Linked DNA regions of Neodiprion lecontei. The protein of the gene in region 1 interacts with the protein of each later gene in a pairwise test. Links are inferred from orthologs where the notes say so. Each region holds a gene or a part of one and is shown on either strand. Other genes may lie near its edges. The genes, in order: ADP-ribosylation factor-like protein 3 and ADP-ribosylation factor-like protein 2-binding protein.

Region 1 (5,046 bases):
AGCCCGTACCATTGATGAGAACTCCTGTACTCGAGGTCATTCGAACTCTACCTGAATGCTTCAACAGCATGATTAACGAATCGATTGAGTTCGAGATTGATCGTGAACTGAATGCTCGGGATTTAATCGGGTAAGTATAATTATTTACTCAAATTTGCAGTCCGAACTGAAAACAAGAATAAAAAGTAGCTTAGATTACTTTTTTGTACAACGTGGAAGTGACGTTCGTATTTCCAATTAGAACCCTCGGAAGAAAGCTCGGAATCTATGACTATCAGACTAACATGGCGACCTTTTGGCTCCTCGACGCAATTGCTCTCGAAGTAGTTCGGTGGAGCTCAGAACTCAATTCCTCAGAACTGGGTATATTAGTCAGCTGGATTGCGGGGGAGGCAAAACTCATTCAAGGTGGCTGAAGACAGCATTCGGAAAAATTCAGGGAAATTAAAATCCTGACTATTCATCGAATTTATAGACAAGCAGCTCAGTCGGACGGAATTCTTCCAGGAAATGGCTGGGTTATTTGCACTAGCATCAGACCAGATAATCGAAGGTCACTCAATGATTTACTGGGAAGAACTAACCGCCGTGGAATCGTCAAGACGAAGTGAACAGGAATCAATGAACAATGAACCGAGTTCTGTATTTCAAACGTCAAACAGGTAACCTGCATATTTGTCAGTAAAATTTAAGACAAGTGATTTGTTCGAAACCAATCAGTTCAATCTTCATTTAAAATCCCTTAGACTTTATTTTCGCTGACTGGTTTTCATTTACTGGGATGTGAAGTAACAATGCCAAGTGTTTTCATCGTATTTTATCATGAAATGTTGCAGTTCTGTTGTCCTGAACAATTCAGCAAACCACAAAAACGGGGAAATAGCAATGGTGCAGGCATCAGCCGATGGTGACATTTCGAGGGGTCGAAGAAGCCTGAATTCAAGCCAAACAGCTCGTTTGACGGTTGAAGGCTCGTTGAAAGTTCACGAAGCAATAATAGAGTCAACTTACGCAATGTTAGATCCAAAATATATATACCTCAGCTCGTAATGACCTGCAACTAAATTGTTGATCCAAAGGTTGTACCCACAGTCAAGACGTCAATGGTAATCATGAATTGCAGGTATGCCAATGCGTTTCACTACGCTACGGTGAGTGCAGCTTTTGCGAAGCCAGTGGAACTCCACACATACAAATTCCCATACACTCTACGTTTTCCGAGGCCATTGGAGCCACCGATTCCACCTCCAGTAATTAAGGAAACATCGAAGAAAAACAAGTCCGGGAAAAGTAAAGGTACGATACACGAGCTTGATCATCGGTGATAAAAAAATTGGAATCCTTTCTCGTAAATGAAGATATATTTTTCGTTTTTCAGAGAAAAAGAAACGCAGGTCTGAAACACCCGACGATATTCCACCGCCCCCAGCCCCATCAATGACAGACGAGGAAATAATCGCTGAGAAGAGAAAGTTCATCCTGCCACTCAAGGACTCCATCGAGGCGCCTCGCCTTCTTGAACGGTATGCAGAACGGCCGCCAAGCGATAATGGAAACACCAATATTGGCTCTGGTAAAAAGGGGGTTAAGGGTACAAAGGGAAAGCGTAAATGAAACTACGCGAATGTGAGAATAATGTTTGTCGTACTCGTTGCAGAGTAAATTATAAAAATAAAATATTTAACATCCACGGGGCTGATGGTAAATTTAATTGTTATCATGGTATTCATCAGTGATAAAGACCGAAAACTTCCAAAAACGTGATTCAAATGCGTTCGTTATCGCAGCCAATCGATTTCAACATCATTTTACGAATTTTAATTCTACGCCTGACGCAGCGAGCGCCTGCAACCCGCAATAACCGGTCCCGCAGCACGCTGAATTTCGCGCATGCGTCGTTACGCGTCGTTTTACACCGTGTCGGCTTGAGCGCAGCGCCTCGCGCGTCAGTTCACGGATGGCGATCGTGCGTGTCGGTGCGCGGTCGAGCGCTGTGCAATTTTAATCTTGCTTGAGCTGCACGTGTCAGTGAATTTCTGTGTACATTTCTACCGAAGTTAGATTCGTAGTTTTTCATACGAGGCCAAGATGTTGAATGCAGAAAAGTGCGTCGAACACTGTGTTTCGTTTATTTTTGCCAGTGAAATGACAAAGTTTTATTTAGCTCAGTGGAAAACTCGTGTGCAATCTTTTGAAGTGAATGTCGGAAGAACATTCAATAGAATGCAATAAGTGAAATGGTGAATTGAAACTGTGTTGAATGCAGTATAATGATGCAACGAAGCTTACGAGAAGGTAAGAAAATATCTTATTGTCAAATTTTTATTCAATAATCACGATGCAATATGACTGGATTGCACATTTCAAGCGGTATATTTGACTCTGCACATTTTTCATTCTCGTGAAGCTTGCAATGATAAAGTAGTCTAATGAATTGGTTAAAGCATATTATGGTGGGTTATGCTTACAGTAATTGAATCGTGGATTTTTTTTACAAACTTTTTTCATTTTGTAACCGATAAATGTAAGCTACATTTACAAACATGTTTTAAACTGAATCCTCGGTCTATTAATCTGTGATGATGATGGCACCCCACTCCCGACATTTGAAATTCTTGATCTCCTTCTCATCAATTGCAGTATTTAGTTTCAAAAATGTCCTCGAATTCGTCAACGCGTCTCTGGACATACCCAGCTGCCCATATTTATTCGATCCACATCCCCACATCGAGTTGTCATCTAAATAATTCATTATTTTTATACACGGAAGCGTTAAAGTTCTCATCTCTTTTAATTTCTGCAAATGGTATTAGGTATAGTAACGTCAATTTTTGCTGATAAAATGATTTTCTCACCCATCATGCAAATGGTGAACGCATTGCCGCATTGTGCCTTTTTTACCGACGCGTCAAAAGCGCGGCCATCGGTATCCATAAAATCAACCGGTTTTGGGGTTGCATAAACCTTCGTGCCTTCATCTGGAATTCCCATTTGACCCTCTGTGTTCCAACCCCACGTGTATAAATCACCCTGTGTAAAATAATCGTAGTAAATAAAAAAAGTACTGAATTTTGACGAAAAATCATTAAAAAAAAAAAAACGCTGTTCCGTCCAAAAATATTCTTCCAAACAATCATATGACGCAATCATTACATTCGTGTGGCTCATTTCACCAAATTTATTCGTGTCGAAAACATTTTTCTCATCTTTCAAATTTCACACCGCAATTGTTGTTTTATGAAATTTCGTTCGGCTTGTAAAATGACTTTTGAATAAATACCTGATCTGTGACCACTGCGCTATGCCAACCCGCAGCGGAGATCTGAACCACCTTCAGACCAGCCAGTGCCTCTATTATCGTTGGATTATCACAGTCTTCAAGGTCACCGTGCCCCAATTGACCACGGCTAAAATATAGAAATTCAACGTTTGGTCGGATAAATTTAATTTTTTCAGAAGTATAATTTTACACGATAAATGGTTTAATAGTCATTTCATGTACTAACCTTCCCATTCCCATTGAATAAACCTCTCCGTTCTCAGCCAATATAATCGTGTGATCGAAGCCGCAAGCAACGTCTGTGAATTTCACCCGCTTTGGCATGTCTACCAATATTGGAATATTGTATACTCTACCTGAAAAATGTATACAATTATCGAATGGGAGATCATTTATAGAAGTTTTTGGGAATTTTGTGTTTCCGAGGGGGATGATTGTTATATTAGGAAAAGGTTTTCAATACATTTTGAATTCTCCTATTAGGTTTGAAAAAACAACATAAACACAACAAAAAAATGTTAATACCGATTTTGAATGATAATGACAGTATTAATAACAATAGTGACAACAAGTATACAGTCATTGGCGTATTTCTAAGCATAAATGAAAAATGAGAAGTATTTGTCTAGAACGGTGAATGTAGTCCTCATAATATGCAAACATAAAAAATTAGTAAGTAAATATTTCTCATTTGAATTACCGAAATTTGTCAAGGCTACGGTGCAGCCGCCTTGAAAGATTTTCACCGTATATTCTTGATCCGAATTATCGTCAGCCGCTTGAATGAAATTTGAAACCTGTTTCCACATTTTGTCGAATACTTTGTACTGCCAAATTTCGTGCTTCACGGATAAAATTGTAATCGTTTCCTTGCCAGGAATTGCTTGTACGCATCTGCAATATGAAACTTTTCTCAGTTGAATTGCCAGAAATGAACAAATTCGGTAAAGCAGCTGAATTTTTCGCTTCGCTTTACGTTTGAAAAATTTATAATCTGCAATATTTTTCTTTCCAAACTCGTGCGAGTCGTTATTCTCATTGATCAATAAGTTTTTTTTTTATGCCTTTTATTCTACATTACTGACCCTTCCATTTCTTCCGGTAGTTTGAGTAAGACCGGAATCTTGTCAGTGACTTCAGTCGACTCATTGAGATTTATTTTACCAGAAATGAAAAGTTCCTTATCCCGCCATAAAAGAATGTAATTCCATCCTATTTCCAAATCGTCGATTCCCGTAAAGGGTACGATTGTAAATTTATCAATAACTTGTTTCACGCTCCCCTCTTCGTCGCAAAATAATTCGCTGTTGTTTAAACCAGTGTAATATATCTTCATTGTGCTGAAAAAACAAGAATTAGGCGTATAATGTTTATTATCTTGCTATTCAATTCTCAGATTCCACGGAAAAGGTTAATTAAATTAAACTCTGCATGAACCAAATTTTTATTAACATATAAATTTATGAAAGATTTAGTGGGTTTTAAATATTTAAACCCTAAAAATTCCTCATGGTAACATAATTTTGACTGTCAAAATTTAATATTCCCAATACGGCGGAAAAACAAAAGCAACAAGGTGAGAAATTTTATTTTGGCACGAGTTAAATTTGAATCTAAATTGGCATTCGAATTTTCATGATAGATTAGCAAAAAATGCTATTTTTTTTTTCACGTAAGAATACAAATTTCGACTGTTTACATGTGCTGTATATCTGAAGAATTTATCAATTATTTTAAAATTTCAAGGGTATATTTATACATATTTT
Region 2 (7,337 bases), on another chromosome or scaffold:
CCATCTCCTGCTGAAATTTTAGACGTATTGCATCCCCCTGGCAATTCCCATGATGTAAACCACGCTTCTGAATTTACAAGAAGCTGACACCTGACTGATCCCATGCGTCGGCTACCCAAAAAATCCGATCCTTTATCGTTATACTTTTCAAACGTTGAATTATATGTATTTATGTTACAGTTTTCAGCGTGGATAATCCACGATGTGAATTTCAGTCGATAGTGTTGTTTCAAACTCTCAACTCTTAGATCAACTAACTGAATTAACGATGGTACGTTTGGTGGCAAAAATATTCCTTTAATGTCACTAAAAAGATTTTTTTAAACAATACGGTGGTGAATTGGTTACCCACAATTCAGCTTTCAAGGGGAGTTTTTGCGTAATCAAAAATTCGCTTACAGCAGGGACAAACACATTGTGGAAGCAGGTTTCAAATATCTTCTCCGGCAATTTTCAACAACCACTAAACACTCTCTTACGAATGTCGCGCTCCGTGTCCTCGTGGCTGCGAATGGGTACGTGCGAATATTTGGCATGCATCAACTCACCTCCGCGTCGGACGTGGGTTCCTCGTAATCGGAGAGAGTTTCTTGGAATACGAAAATGCAGTCGGAGCAGTCGAGCGGACGAGCATGGCCGAACTGCGTATGCTTGTCTCTGATGGTCTCGAGGACGGCAGTTTCGACCATCGTTGTTTCCGGGGTGGTTTTGCAACTGGGTACTCGGAGATAAATTCGCACTGCTAAAACGCGTAAAACTACCGCCTCTTCTGTTGCGGTCGTGAGCCAGGCACGTCGTAGTTTCCTCAAAGATTTACCGAGTCGTTCGCAGTTTCCTAGTTCAGATACCTGAAACACCAATAAACGTCTTTTACGGGTAATGAAAAGCCGAATTTCTAACGTCCCCGCCCTCGCTGCCTCCTGCGCTTCGATCTCTGTGCACATGGCAATATTTTTCACGAATTTTACGACACAGGCTTATTGCTATTCCTTCCCGATCATATTATATCCGCAATTTATCTTTATAAATATAAAAAATATAAATTTATATCATGCTACGTACTCATACTATGCAAATAGGTAAACGGACGTAACTTTATCCCTCGTTTTTTATTTTTCTGCGTCATCGTTACGATTTTGCAAAATTGAAGATAACCCGGGATTTATTTGCTCAGTGTCTCAATAATTTTTTAATTTCTTCGTATTCAGAGCAGAGAATAATTTTTTCAAGAATTGTTTTTTATGCGCCAATGTTTTGAATTCGCGACTGATATTGGTGACAAAAGTAGCGACGATATAATTTTTGGCAAAGACATGTGCCGCTTGGAATAATTACATACGTGTACGTAGGGTGATTGATAAATTATCACTCTTGACATAACATTAAAAACAATACTCAAAGCAAAACGTAGCCCGGGAGGTCTCACGTCACACAGATCTCAAACAATTAATTATCTTTTTACCCAAAAGACAGGAAGAAACAGCTGTTAACCCTAATTCATTATATACAATTGTAAAAATACAACGAGCATAAAATATTCTATCGCATCTTTAAATAGTTCACGCATCTGCGATTCGAAACACATTGCACGAATACGTGAACCAAATCTGATTTTTTTCTGCTAAACCGTAACCCTGCTTTGGGAACATGCGGCGTCAGTCAGTATTGCTCATCTAACACCTGAACGTGCATTATCCTATTCGTATTACGTAGAAACAAAAATTAATACGTACGCGATGCGTCTGGTTGTTTCTAATGTTTTTATTTGGGACACAGTGTACAAATCATAGCTTCCGAAGATTTTGAGGTTAGGTAACATGAAGCCGACAATATCTCGATTTATCTTCAAATTATTTCGTTTTTACTAACTCTTTGGTCCACCAGTTCGCGATATGACGCAAATCTCTCATGCGGCGTACATTTCTTTTTTAATTATACAAACAATATCCATCAATGATTTACCAATGTATTCAACGAGCTCAAAAGCCTCATCTGTATTTTTGTTTCACCTCGCACAACCACGTCGAAACGTAAGCACGCGGAATCGTTACTGAATTTGATAAGGTGGCGCCATCTTGCGGCGTTCATTGCAACCAATCTTTACCACGAAAAATTAAGATATTCGTAAGATGAAGATATTTCTTTGGCGAAAAGGTAAGAAATCTATGAGTACTTATTGAAATTTTGTGGTAAAATTATTCGGCATGAATTATGAGTTAAAATTACTTTACAATGTTTAAACCGGTAAACAATTTTTGAAAGCCAAAATTTTCAAACATACCAATTACAAAGAAAACCTCCAATTTCTTACATTAAATATACATTTATTTTAATATTAAAGATAAGTAACAAGGGATATATCTGGTAAACTTTGTAAAAAATTTTTTGTCACAATGTACTCTGGAAATTGCTGTGATAACGGGATATAACGGGATCTAAGACACATTTTCACGAATATAATATATTTAAGACACCATGTTCGTATTACCTTCTTGTTTAGCGAAGAATGCCGCGGACGGTTTAGCTTGAAATAAAATATCACCCTTACCATTGTTCTCGAATTGACAATCTTTGATATTAATTTCGGAGACATTCTGCAGCAGCTCACTACTCCCAATCTTTCCCTCAGGGCCAGTTACATACTTTTGAGTTTCCATGCGTATACTGTGCTCTTTGAAATTCGATAATGAGCAATTATTTACAGCCAAACTTGAATTATCGTGCATCTGAAATAATGATATTATCAATAATGAGCCCACGTGTGAATCAGGTCCTTGAGAATCTCACACTACCAGTACATTTTTCATGTAATTAGAGTGTTAAAAATGATTATGGAATTTTTATAGAACTAACAGCACTTAAATATTAATCATCACCTTACCTGAATACCTTCGACACATTCGTTGAAGTAGCATCCATCTAAAGTAACACTGCCTCCTGAATGAATTACAATTGCAGTTCCAAGCCCTTCAAATGTCGTATTTTGGGCGATTAATTTAGCCCCAGGCAGAACCACAGTGCCTAGTTTGATGACACTTTTATTTGTAACGAAAATCCTGCACCCAATGAGTTGGACCTTCCCTTTGCGAGCTAGCAAACCCATCTGAAGATCGCCTAATTGAATGGAGATGCCTTCTAAATATACCTGGTGATACGAAAGTTAATGAGTATGATGTTATACATATATTAGTAATAGTATAGTTATTTTTTTCGTAAATGTCATTCGTACCTCCCCGCCTGAAAAATCCATCAAGGACGGCCCACATTCGGTCTCCCTTCCACAGATAACTGTATCTCCAAGTCTGCCGAACCCCTTGAATTTGCCTCCTTCCTCCAGGCCTCCAACGCCTCTGATTTGGTGCTCTCCTTCACCGAGAACTACTATATCACCTGCTTCAGAAGCATCCAGTGCTTCTTGCAAGCAATTTGAAGTTCTGAATAATATATAATGATGAAAAAAATGTTAGAAATCGTCAGTTCTCTATTTTTTGTAAAATCAAGGTTCCCAGATCTGATTTATTGAAAAATAGGTAATGTATTTCAACTAAAAATCATTTACTGTTGAATATGCGTAACGATCATTAGTCATAAAATGAGTCATACAGATTATGAAACCTCTTACTTCAAAAACATATCGGGACCAATGACTGTCTGAACATTGCTCAAAGACGAGATCATGTCTTGAACAGATCCTCCGAGCCAAACAAAATATCCTTCAGATCTCGTCCCTCTGCTTTCCCGGTTCTTAACTTCTTTATCCGTCATGTTCGAGCCTTTATTTCTGGTGAGGACTTCCCTCATAACAGGATTTTCCAGAACTTCCATCTCAGTTTTAATCTGCTGTAGTCGAAAATGAAGCTTCATTAACTGGCAGGCTTTTCCGTCATCGAGCACTTGATCCTGATCCTCTTCTTCGTCTGATATATCTTCCTCGAGCCTTGTGATTTTTGCTTGAATATCCCTCCCTTCTCTGGTCAAGCTTCTTATAACGTCGCAAGTTTCTTTGTTGACAACCCCGCGTTTCATGTCAAAAAATAATCTTATTCTTGGCTCCAAATGAAGTGAAACCCAGTCGGTGTCGTCATCGTCATCCGTATCCCACGGCATCCAGAGATAATTAAAAAAGAATCTTAACTGATCGATGCAGTTAGCTGTACCAATCATATCAAGGACTGTATTCTCTTGGTGCTGAGTTGGGTAAAGCTCGTTCAGAGGAACGTCATACTTTTCAGGAAGCTGTATCTCATCTTGAACAGCAACTATTTTAACAAGTGCAGATAATTCTTGGAAATCCACATTCTCAACCTCAACAACAACAATTGTAGGATAATGGATTTCGAAGTCCTGACAGGTCAGCCTTGGGATTTTCCATAGGGCACGCCAACCAACCGGTTCTATCACCAGTTCAACATAGCAGGACCATTCGGAGTGAATCTGAGATGCTGGAATTACCTTTGCACCCGCTGTTAATATTTCCGAGTATTCGACCAGCCGCTCCTGCAGGCTTTTATCAAACGCAAATATTTCCATGGACATCTCTAGCCTCCGTTTCACTTTAATAGCTGGATAAGCAAAACATTATTGTTAACCACTGGTCAAGGACGCATCAGGCCTATAACCCATTTCAAAAAGTAGAGAAACAAAGAAATTGTTGAATAATCATTTGAAAGGAGGATTTAAAATCACTAGAGTTGAACTGAAATGATATTACTTTGAGATAGAGAAAAATTTTCAACTCTAAATTTGATTTCAAAATACCTGATACCAACGGCTTAAAAAACTACTGTTTTACTTTAATTAAACCTTATTATCCATCAAAATCCGCAACATCTTAGATTTCGACTAGAAGGATTAATATTGAAGGAAAAATTATGATAATCTTACCTGAATTTGATTCACTAAAAAGAAAAAGTATTCACGTTTAAATAACTCTTGCGACAGGAATGCAAACAGGCTGCTAAAATTGCTAAAATAACAGCACGCCATTAACCACAAACATGCAACAACCGGTATCCCAAAAACGTTACGCCGTGTCGTCTGCTAAGCAGCGACGTTGGTCGCTAAAAGATTCGGTTAACTCTATTTACGCAGCCACGATATGTGTTTGAAAGTGACTTCGGATTATTACTCAGGCCTCAAGAGCTATTTGGTGTTTTCAAACTCTGTGAACATTAATTGAAAACTTTTTTTTTTTCAAGTTTAAAAATTGTCGTCACACCGTGTCAGGTTGAACGAGCCAATCGCATTCAAGAACCCGGCGTTGCTAGGCGTGAAACAACATGGCGGCTTACATGACAGATTCGATAGTAAACAAATCTTTTGACATTGCAGACGCATGTACTAACCACGCACTAACGTGTAGTTCTTCAATACATACAACGCAAGTTATGGAACTTTAGAAATAATATTCATGAGCCTTGTTTAAAATGAATCCAGAAGTTATAGGTTCGTTAAAAAAATATTTCTTGACCCACTTTCAAACTGTCACCAACAGACTGGCGTGATAAACTGCACTACATTTAATTTAATGATACGACCTGACATTCACTTCCTAACTTACTTATCAGTCCAACATTTTGTGATTCAGATCACATAACACCCATGGATACTGACAGCGAAGAAGTTCACGAGGAATCCAAGGGTGTCAGAGACGCAGGTTTCGATAAAATCATCGGGTACATAGAAGATCTTTTGATGGGTACTGAGAATTTTATGATTCTTCTTTGAATCTGAGAATCTTTGAAGCAAAAATTTAGGAAAGCGATGTTTTATCTCTTTTATAGAGCAGCTAATTTTTATTCCAAAGTATAAACAAAATTCCTGTTTTAGAAAGCGAGTTCCAAGAGCTACAGCAGAAATTTTTGGAGAACTACTGGCACATATTTGGACCCGAGGAAGAGAATAAACTGATTTACATGGAAATCTTTAATCAGTATGTAAGTTTTGCATAACTAGGAAACTTACATGTAGAAAATTAATTTTATTAGTCAGAGTGTATAGCTAGATTAAGGTATCACCAACTTGTTTAATTCTCTTCTCTTTCGCAGAACCAGGAAATAGAAAACTACATCGTTAAGCAGCTCAAGAAGTCTGTTCCTAACTTTTCAATCCACGTTCTGTTAGACCAGCTTAAGTATGAGACAATAATTGCTGTGGGACCCGTAGTTTTGTAAACAGTGCTGTTCGCTAATATGCCTTTTTTTCTTATAGTGAAAGACGTCCTGAACTGGATGGAGAAGTTTTTGAAGTTTTAGCGACGTTAACAGACTTTCTATCATTCAAAGAAATGATTTTAGATTACAAAGCTGTAAGTTTTGGATTACTGCTTCATCGTTGGGGCACTTTCTTTTATCATTGACAATGAGTTGCGTTTGAACTCAAACAGATAATATATCAATATAAAACCAATTTATTATTCGTTAGGTAAAAGAAGGAAAGGTGGAAGACTTTAGCGCCGGGATTTCGATTACATCTATCAAATCAACGAGCTCAGAGCGGGATGAGCCTACTGGTTAACCAATCGCGAGCTCCATCCAAATGATACATTTTATAAAATGCTTACCTAGCACTTTTTTCAAATTTATCCATACTATTACTAATTATCTAGTATTTGTTAGATGTAAGATAGAAAATAAACGCGAATGAAGTTGGAATTCAATGGTATTTTGTTTTATTATTGTGATAAACTAGTACCTGTGGTTTATTTTAAATATTAAAAATTCACGAATAACTGCAGTCTTCATTAATTCAAAAAGAAACGCAAATGGTGTTCATTAGTTTATTTTTTTTAATTTATCGCACTGTCTTGTTTCGTTTGTTTCATAAAGATAGTTTCCACTTACTAGAACGGAACCTGTGCGCAAATTAATCATCGAGAAAATTCAAAAAATTTGTAACCATTAAACGTAGCTTTCAAAATCATAATCTATTTAAATGTTTGAATCTTACATTTTTTCAGCTTTGTACGCAAAAATAAATTCACTCCTTCAATGCATTAGTATTTCCATTTGAACGAGTCTACTGTTTGTTTCGTTCGGCATTCGATAAGGGATCGTGCCCGCAAAGCTGGTCAAGGCTCTGGCTTGTTCTCTGAGATCGCAAAGTTGCTGTTCCCTCGCAACCTCGTCGCCTGGTTCAGTTGAGCGTAGTTTTTGATACAGCTTATACAAAATAGTCATTGTAGCAAGAAGAACGTCAGCTAGAGCACCAGTAATTTCTGCTGAAACCCGACGGAGCGCTGTAACACGTTCGTCAACTTCTCTAACATGTAGCGGTAATAATCCGGAATCCGCGATGGTCTGAAATAATTTGTTGTTTCAATATCAACCACTTCAAAC

The links.
Region 2: the proteins of ADP-ribosylation factor-like protein 3 (region 1) and ADP-ribosylation factor-like protein 2-binding protein interact in binary tests that used the Homo sapiens proteins (3 or more experiments, as listed by UniProt). The link is inferred for Neodiprion lecontei from reciprocal best matches to the Homo sapiens genes ARL3 and ARL2BP.

What each region holds. Positions count from the first base shown.
Region 1 is NC_060262.1:4,089,398-4,094,443, forward strand, and holds the start of ADP-ribosylation factor-like protein 3, read left to right. Parts: upstream 1-1,980; 5' UTR 1,981-2,295; intron 2,296-2,371; exon of another isoform or gene 2,372-2,569; coding exon of another isoform or gene 2,570-2,739; intron 2,740-2,855; coding exon of another isoform or gene 2,856-3,030; intron 3,031-3,280; coding exon of another isoform or gene 3,281-3,407; intron 3,408-3,506; coding exon of another isoform or gene 3,507-3,636; intron 3,637-3,980; coding exon of another isoform or gene 3,981-4,174; intron 4,175-4,365; coding exon of another isoform or gene 4,366-4,616; exon of another isoform or gene 4,617-4,620; intron 4,621-5,046. Other genes in the region: uncharacterized protein LOC124293339, read left to right, coding at 69-130, 242-408, 476-662, 837-1,016, 1,124-1,296, 1,379-1,614; RCC1 domain-containing protein 1, read right to left, coding at 2,570-2,739, 2,856-3,030, 3,281-3,407, 3,507-3,636, 3,981-4,174, 4,366-4,616. UniProt on the Homo sapiens protein: Small GTP-binding protein which cycles between an inactive GDP-bound and an active GTP-bound form, and the rate of cycling is regulated by guanine nucleotide exchange factors (GEF) and GTPase-activating proteins (GAP).
Region 2 is NC_060261.1:35,069,989-35,077,325, forward strand, and holds ADP-ribosylation factor-like protein 2-binding protein, read left to right. Parts: upstream 1-2,088; 5' UTR 2,089-2,129; coding exon 2,130-2,154; intron 2,155-2,307; exon of another isoform or gene 2,308-2,465; coding exon of another isoform or gene 2,466-2,726; intron 2,727-2,881; coding exon of another isoform or gene 2,882-3,145; intron 3,146-3,229; coding exon of another isoform or gene 3,230-3,434; intron 3,435-3,622; coding exon of another isoform or gene 3,623-4,536; exon of another isoform or gene 4,537-4,562; intron 4,563-4,884; exon of another isoform or gene 4,885-5,122; intron 5,123-5,282; exon of another isoform or gene 5,283-5,426; coding exon of another isoform or gene 5,427-5,445; intron 5,446-5,587; coding exon 5,588-5,698; intron 5,699-5,829; coding exon 5,830-5,936; intron 5,937-6,047; coding exon 6,048-6,133; intron 6,134-6,210; coding exon 6,211-6,307; intron 6,308-6,423; coding exon 6,424-6,516; 3' UTR 6,517-6,653; downstream 6,654-7,337. Other genes in the region: RNA pseudouridylate synthase domain-containing protein 2, read right to left, coding at 549-848, 1,963-2,088; protein nessun dorma, read right to left, coding at 2,466-2,726, 2,882-3,145, 3,230-3,434, 3,623-4,536; nuclear pore complex protein Nup93, read right to left, coding at 6,987-7,298. UniProt on the Homo sapiens protein: Together with ARL2, plays a role in the nuclear translocation, retention and transcriptional activity of STAT3. May play a role as an effector of ARL2.